Linked DNA regions of Mus musculus. The protein of the gene in region 1 interacts with the protein of each later gene in a biochemical or structural test. Links are inferred from orthologs where the notes say so. Each region holds a gene or a part of one and is shown in the gene's direction. Other genes may lie near its edges. The genes, in order: Flt4 and Vegfd.

The links.
Region 2: the proteins of Flt4 (region 1) and Vegfd form a complex in vitro, tested with the Homo sapiens proteins (2 studies listed by BioGRID). The link is inferred for Mus musculus from reciprocal best matches to the Homo sapiens genes FLT4 and VEGFD.

The regions. Positions count from the first base shown.
Region 1 is NC_000077.6:49,626,518-49,630,335, forward strand, and holds part of Flt4 (vascular endothelial growth factor receptor 3 precursor), read left to right. Parts: intron 1-151; coding exon 152-320; intron 321-602; coding exon 603-720; intron 721-3,751; coding exon 3,752-3,818. UniProt on the Homo sapiens protein: Tyrosine-protein kinase that acts as a cell-surface receptor for VEGFC and VEGFD, and plays an essential role in adult lymphangiogenesis and in the development of the vascular network and the cardiovascular system during embryonic development.
Region 2 is NC_000086.7:164,393,835-164,397,652, forward strand, and holds part of Vegfd (vascular endothelial growth factor D isoform VEGF-D358 preproprotein), read left to right. Parts: intron 1-598; coding exon 599-747; intron 748-2,098; coding exon 2,099-2,199; intron 2,200-3,818. UniProt on the Homo sapiens protein: Growth factor active in angiogenesis, lymphangiogenesis and endothelial cell growth, stimulating their proliferation and migration and also has effects on the permeability of blood vessels.

The DNA.
Region 1 (3,818 bases):
CAAGTGATGGATGGGGAAGTTTTCTATACCAAAGCAAGCTCTGAAGCGGGGCACCCAGAACCACTTGTGCTTGGGCAGGGGTGTGGGCCTTTGCTGGGTTAGCTCTGTCTCTGCCTGCCTGCTGACCCTGGGCTTCCCCTGGGTGCGGCAGGCAGAGCGGGCTAAGTGGGTACCTGAGCGGCGTTCCCAGCAGACCCACACAGAACTCTCCAGCATCCTGACCATCCACAATGTCAGCCAGAATGACCTGGGCCCCTATGTGTGTGAGGCCAACAATGGGATTCAGCGGTTCCGGGAAAGCACAGAGGTCATTGTGCACGGTATGACCTGGGAGGCTGAGGTCACTGTGCCCGGCATGGGATGGGATGGGTCCGGTTTCATGGAACCTGGACAACAAGGGTCTTTATGCGGTGTGGGTCAGAGGTCATGATGCACCTGAGCAGCAGGGGCCAGTCAAAAGGAAGGAAGGGCTCTGAGGGGAAGCCCTGCCCAGCTCCTACCAGCTGGACAGCGAGGCAAAGCTCCAGTCTGCAGAGGGAGAGACTGGGAAGGCCTGGTGGATGGTCAGCCCCAAGTTTACACTCATGCCTCCTGTTTGGCAGAAAAGCCCTTCATCAGTGTCGAGTGGCTCAAAGGACCTGTCCTGGAGGCCACAGCCGGTGACGAGCTGGTGAAGCTACCCGTGAAGCTGGCAGCTTATCCCCCACCGGAGTTCCAATGGTAACAGCCTCCCCTTGCTACCCCACCAGGCTTAACCCAAGGACTGGCCAGGGCATGAAAAGGACAGGATCCTTCCCCATCAGATCAGTAGCCCTGAATCTCAAAAGAGGATTTAATCCTTGCCCATCAGCGCCTCCATACCCTAAACCCAGGTGGGACCCTCCCTAAATCCAGCCCCTAAAGGGAATGCATGCAGATACTCAGAAGAAGCTCAGCCCAGGAGCAGCTAAACTGCAAAATGTTTTAAACACCAGATCCGGTGTGCGGGGTGTGATTGGCAGTATGGGGTTTTATATTCCTGCTTCTTACATCCCCTCAGACTCAGCAAGGCTCTGCTAGCTGGATCTCCATGCAGGGAACAAACTCAGGGCCTGCTCTGCAGTGGCTAGTTCTCTGGGCTCCCTTCTTGGAAGAGTTCTTCTCTGAGGACCTTCTGACCCACAAATCTGAGATAGCATAAGACTGATAAGCCTGGCTCTGAGCTATCTGGTAGTGAGAGGCCTGTAGGAGACCTGAGAGTTGGCCTTTCCCTACAGGGTATGCCCAGAGCACAGAGGGACCCTCGGTGATATACCTTCTGTATTGAGTACAAAGCCTCAATCCTCCATTACACCCTGAGCCACCCACTTGATTCAGTCCTCCTGCAGCTTCCGTCTACCTTGTACAGATAAGAAAATGGGCCAGAAGAGGGACAAGCATTCCCACCTGAGCCCCAGGTCTCCTGGCAGGAATTCCTGCTTTGTCTCTTCCTGTCAAACCCAGGGTAGCCCTGCCCTTCCAAGCTTGAGGCACCTCACACCTGGTAGAAAGGCTCCGGTGCAGGACAAACAGAAGCGCCAAAGGTCTTCAGCCAGGACCCACTGGCCATAGGCTGGAAGCTGGCTTCTGTGAAGGCTCAGTTATTAATTAGTCTGTGGCTCCCTAAATCCTGCCATAGCTTTGAGCCATAGAGCACTACGTGGCATAGAATAGAGCCCTAGAGGGAAGGTCCTAAATTCACTGATGAAGCTAGCATAATTACAACTCTTAGAGTCACAGAGTCCCCTGACCTCTGAGGCCAGCAGGACTGAGTCTGCTCTCAGCACAGTTTTCCACAGGAACATATCTACCTTCTCTGACCCTTCTCTTCCCTCTTAGCTATTGTCTTCCTCTCTGCAGTGTGCAGCTGTCCCAGCACGCATGTGTTCATCACCGTCTCACAGGTGACCACTGTTTAGATGGCACCGTGTTAGGATTACACTAAGTCAATGAGTGGACAGCCAGCCAGGCTGGGTCTTTGGTCCGGTGTGCCCAGCAAAGTGAAGGCACTATTTCAGTGAGCCTTTGCAATTCCTGCAGTTGTCAAATAAAGACACTGAGGCATAGGAGAATTTTTAACCTAAGAGATGTCCCTTTTCAGGGCCACAGAGTCCTAGCTTAGCCTATTCAGAGGGGAGGGGCCTAGAAGCCCAGGACTCAGGCTGCAGAAACAGTCCAGGGTATGAGGCATTTGCTCACACTTGCAGCAGAGACCTAGAGTGACCACACATGCCCAGTGGGGTATTGTGTAAACAGGATATGGCAGTGAGTTGTCCCTGTCCTCACTGAAGCTCACAGCTCAGTGAGAGGATCGTCAACCAATTTGTACAAAACCCAGTGTGCCAGATAGGAGTGTAGGTCCTGGTTTGATCTGAAGGAAGGAAGGAAGGAAGGAAGGAAGGAAGGAAGGAAGGAAGGAAGGAAGGAAGGAAGGAAGGAAGGGAGGGAGGGAGGGAGGGAGGGAGGGAGGAAGAAAGGAAGGAAGGAAGAAGGAATGGAGGAAAAGAGAGGGAGGAAGGGAGGGGGTCAGGCACTGGAACATGGCAGGCAGGGACAGATGACAACCTTCTTGAAGAGCCAATACTCCAGCTGCAGTGCAGGAAGGAGAGAGCCATGCAAATTGTCATCTACAGAAAGAGCATCCCAACTAGGGTGACAGTAAGACAGTAAGCCCTGTGAGAAGGTCCAGGTCTGGAGAACTCACTGGAGCTTCCCGAGGCAGGTGTCCGAGAAGCAAGCAATTAGCACTCCATGGGCTCAGCTGTTGCTATTCCTTCCCTCATCAGTATACACTGAGAAAGAAGACAGGGCCCACCGAGGGTGGTGAAGTCAGTCTCTGATGCTAAAGCTCAGAGGTGTGGAAGAACTTCATGGACGAACTGGGAAGCTGCCTTCCTAGTCCCTAGGCCAAGTTCATAGAAAAGAGTGGAGCTGCCCTAAGCAGAGACTGGTAGGGAGGGGAGTGTCAAAGGATTTAGGGGTAAGTCTGGAAGTGCCACTGAAGATCTCATGATGGGCCTCAAGGCCAGTGACATTGCTGAGCTGGCCACATAAGTCAGCCCAGTACAGAGCTTTTGTCTGCCTTTCCTCAGACCAGGGACTCTGTCCATCCCATACTCCTGCTGCCCTTCTTGGTCTAGCACAGGAGAGGCCTCTTGCTCTAGTCTGATCTGTCAAGAGAGGCCACATGGCCTTCTCTTCCCACCTCCAGCAGTATGTGTGGCCCTTCATATTAGTGTTTTCTGCAGCCACGGGGCCAATGAACCTTAGATGGAAAAATAGCCTCTAAAATGTATCTGGACCTTTTGTTTCTATGACAGCCCCTGAGCATGTCAAGATCACAACCTTCTATGAAACAATGTATTAGTACCATAAGTCATCTAAAGATGGTTTACAGTATATAGAGAGGTGTGGTAGCTTATGTGAAAAGTCTGTGTTACTTTATAGGAGAGACTTGAGCACTGGGTATTTGGGATTCTATTTGCCTTGGTTCCTTTATTTTTAATTAGCATGCAAAGTGATGCATATTAATTTAATTAGCATGCAGAGGATTTATTATGGCATCCTCAAACAAAATTTGTTCTTGTTGATGCCATCCGGTATCTTAGATCGATCATTAAAGATTCTGGTGACCAACAGGAAACCGAGAACTACTCCCACTGGAGGGCCTGCAAATGCAAGCCCAGAGCTAGCATTTGGTCCCCACAGTTTCTGAATTCCCTTCCTCTGCCAGGTACAAGGACAGAAAGGCAGTGACTGGGCGCCACAATCCCCATGCTCTGGTGCTCAAAGAGGTGACC
Region 2 (3,818 bases), on another chromosome or scaffold:
CCAACCTGCTTTGTATGTCCTCCCTTGGACTAGCGTAGCTTACAGGCTATATCCATTTCATGGCTATACCATAAGCAAGACATAATAAATCTCACAAGGCATGCACAGTCCCAATTTGTACTATGTGGTGTCAGCTATCATCTTATTGGCCAAAACAAGTTTTATGGCCAAGCTCAATGCCAGGAGGTAGGAAATTGTCTGTCATCAATAGAAATGGTTTGGGAAGGGATGAGTAAGTAGTTTAAATAACAATCAAATCCACCCACGTCCCAAAGAACCACCAAAGATTTTATTTTGTTTATACTTACAATTTATATTCAATTTTAAAAACAAGAGCAGAGAGCAGGGATTTTTAAAGAACTTGAATGATAGTGAAAAGAACAGATTAGGAAAACACTTAGGAGAGCAAGCTGGATAAGGCCCCCTGTCTCCTGACTCCCGGCATTCCAAACCGCTTACTTACAATGACTAACTCTATTGCTCATGAATAACTTTGCTGAAGTCATTACCATAAAGGATAAGGGCAAAAATGCAGATGGTGGAAACTGAGAAAAGTATACAATAAAATTTACATCATGGTTCTCTTTCTTTGCTGCAGCTCTTTGAGATATCAGTGCCTCTGACATCAGTGCCCGAGTTAGTGCCTGTTAAAATTGCCAACCATACGGGTTGTAAGTGCTTGCCCACGGGCCCCCGCCATCCTTACTCAATTATCAGAAGATCCATTCAGACCCCAGAAGAAGATGAGTAAGCATTTCCTGGACTTGATAATGTCTGTTCTTGCTTTTGACAAAACTGCATGTACATTCCTTTACCCATTATACAGGCATCCTCAGAAAGACATGTGTTGCACATTTTCTGTTTTATGGAGCATTAAAAAACAAAAAGACATGAAAGTAGAAGGGGGGTTTTTAGGGAAAGGAAGCAGATGAAGAGGAGGAGGCAGAGAGGAAAAGAGAGGAGAAAAGTGCAGGTGAAGTATATTTTATGCATGCATGAATATGGTATGGTGAAAACCATTATTTTTTTACAATATACACTAATCAAAATGTTGAAGACACAAATAGAAAAAATATAAGTTGCAATTGCATTGTAATTGCAAAAATTACATTCTCTTCATTAAATTTTTTCATCTTCTGACTTTAAAACCAGATCTATTCATAGTATTTGACAAACACATTATTTTTTTACTAGGTGCTATATCTATATTACAGTAGGACCCAAAACCTTGAGGATCATGAACACAGCATGTTTGGATTCAGACACCTTCAGGGTTTTACTGTGGGTTTTTTTTTGTATGTTTGTTTTTTATTTTGATATTTTTGAGACAGGATCTCACTTTGTATCCCTGGCTGAACTGAAACTCACTCTGTAGACCAGGCTGCCCTTGAACTCTGCCTGTGCTTCCTGAGTGCTGGGATTTAAGATGTGCTGCCACATTGGCCCAACACCTTTGTTCTTAGAATGAGTGGCCGAATGCATTGTAAAACTGCTCCAGCCTCATAGCTACCATGTCTCCCCTCACTCCTGTGCAAACAGTGACTCTCATAAATCCAAGTTTAGTCTCTAAAGTTTCCCTAATAGAATATTTATAACTATAGAATTATTATGTCATAAGATGTCATTTCTAAATATAAAGTAAGCTCCATATTTTCTTTTGTTTGTTTGTGTCTATGTATGCATGTGTGTGGGTCTGCACATCTGTGCATGTGCCATTGGAGTCCAGGAGAAAGTGCTGGATCGTTTAGAGGAGGGATTCTAGGTGGTTGTGAGCCGATCCACATGGGTGTTGAGAACTGAACTCGGCCCCGTGGAAGAACAGTACTCATTCTGAGCTGCTGAACCGGCTCTTTAGCCCCAACGTTAAGGTCTTTACAACTCTTCTCACACAGTTGTAATTTTTTCACAGTCACCATGCCGTGAGAGACAAACATTTGTTCTCCTGTATCACTCTTAGAAACAAAATTTGAAAGCACTAACATGCTCCACACAGAATGTTTAGATTATTAGATATCAAATATTAAGAATGACTTAATATTCCCAAAGTAGGATTACTCTGAAAAACTTTTAAATCTGGTTCTTTGCTTTCTTTTCCTAGATGTCCTCATTCCAAGAAACTCTGTCCTATTGACATGCTGTGGGATAACACCAAATGTAAATGTGTTTTGCAAGACGAGACTCCACTGCCTGGGACAGAAGGTAAGGATGGCAGTAGTGAAGTACTAACCATACTGATAGAAGGAATACAACATTTAGCATGGCTGAGCATTCACTATGACCACGTGTATTAGTTTTCTGTGGTTGTGATAAAATATTGTGACCAAAAGCAACTTCCGGGAGGAAGAGCATATTTTGACTCATGTTTGAGGGTAACCCATCATAGTGGGGAAGGTATGTGAGCAGGCAGGCAGGGCGTCAGGAGCAGGAAACTGACCGGTCACATTTCATCTGCACTCAGGAAGCAAAGAGAAAACAGGAGCTAGAGTAAGGCTATAACCCTCCAAAGCCCGCCTCTAGTGACGTACTTCCTCCAGAAAGGCTTCGCCTCCTAAAGGTTCCATAACCTCCCCCAGACAACTGAGGGTCAAGCGTCTCAATCAAGGCACAACATCCCACAATGTTCACAACTCATGATCATCCCTCTTTACAAGCACACAGTGTCTACCCCGAGATATCTAGTAATTTCCTCACTCTCACACAGATAACAGTGCCAGAAGTGGTTGGATTTTAGAGCCTTCTCTGTTCGCTTCGCTGTTCATTCTCAAAGAAAAGTACAAAGTGGACAAAGCCCCCTAAAGCAGGTGTTATACTCTAATGAAAACTACTTTGGGGTGAAACTCATAGGTCATTTGGAACTTGGTTTCTTTCAACTGCACCATTTGAAAGCAAGCAAATACTCTGGGAAAAAAATAAAGGAAAGAAGGAGGACACGTGGGAACATTTGTCTGTAACTGGAACACATCATGCTCCTGGGCTAAGCCAAATAGGGAATTGCTAGCCTGTCATTCCATCTCCCGATCTGTTAAAGCTCTGAATCCTGGCATGAACATATGGTTGAACAAACATGATGGTTTACTTTTTTTAAAATTTATTTCCACACATGTGACTTGGTTCCACTGAAAACTATCACAGGGGACCATGCAACGTGAACGTTGCTTGTTTTAAACTCTGATCTCCTAGCAAGAATAGCAAGGATCCAGAGCCATAGAATCTGTCTGAAATGTCAAGCTCTTAGTGCTCTTGTCCTCAGGTTCCAGTTCTCGGCACCAGTGTAAGAGCTCAAACTAGGATGGGAGGTAAAATATTTTTGAAGTTATCTAGCCAAAGGCTCACACACATATAGTTTCAACACAGACACAACAAAGTAAAGGGTGACAATTGAGGCAGCATGACACAATGCAGTTGCTAAATCACCATCAGCCAATCCTGCGTGGAGTCGAAGCCAAGGAGTTCCCTGGGGGGGGGGCACCTCAAATAAACAGGTTGGGCCCTACAGACTTGAGGAGGGGTCATAACCTGGGTGGGGCATTTTCTTTCAGGGGGATGTTAATTCCTGGGGAAGACTCACTAGGTAGGTTCATACATTGAGGATGGAAAGAGAGATGTGCTCTGAGCAGGGCTTAGGTGAGAAAGCAAAAACCCAGTGCTGGGAAAGGTTAGTGGGGGAACACATTGGTTACTTTTTAGGTGCTGTAATAAAATATCTGACAAAAGCAATGGAGAGGAAAAAAGAAGGAATGAAGAAGGAAGGTGAGGGATGGAGGGAGGGAGGGCGGGCGGGCGGGCTCATTTTGCCTTTCACTTTGATACAGAACAGT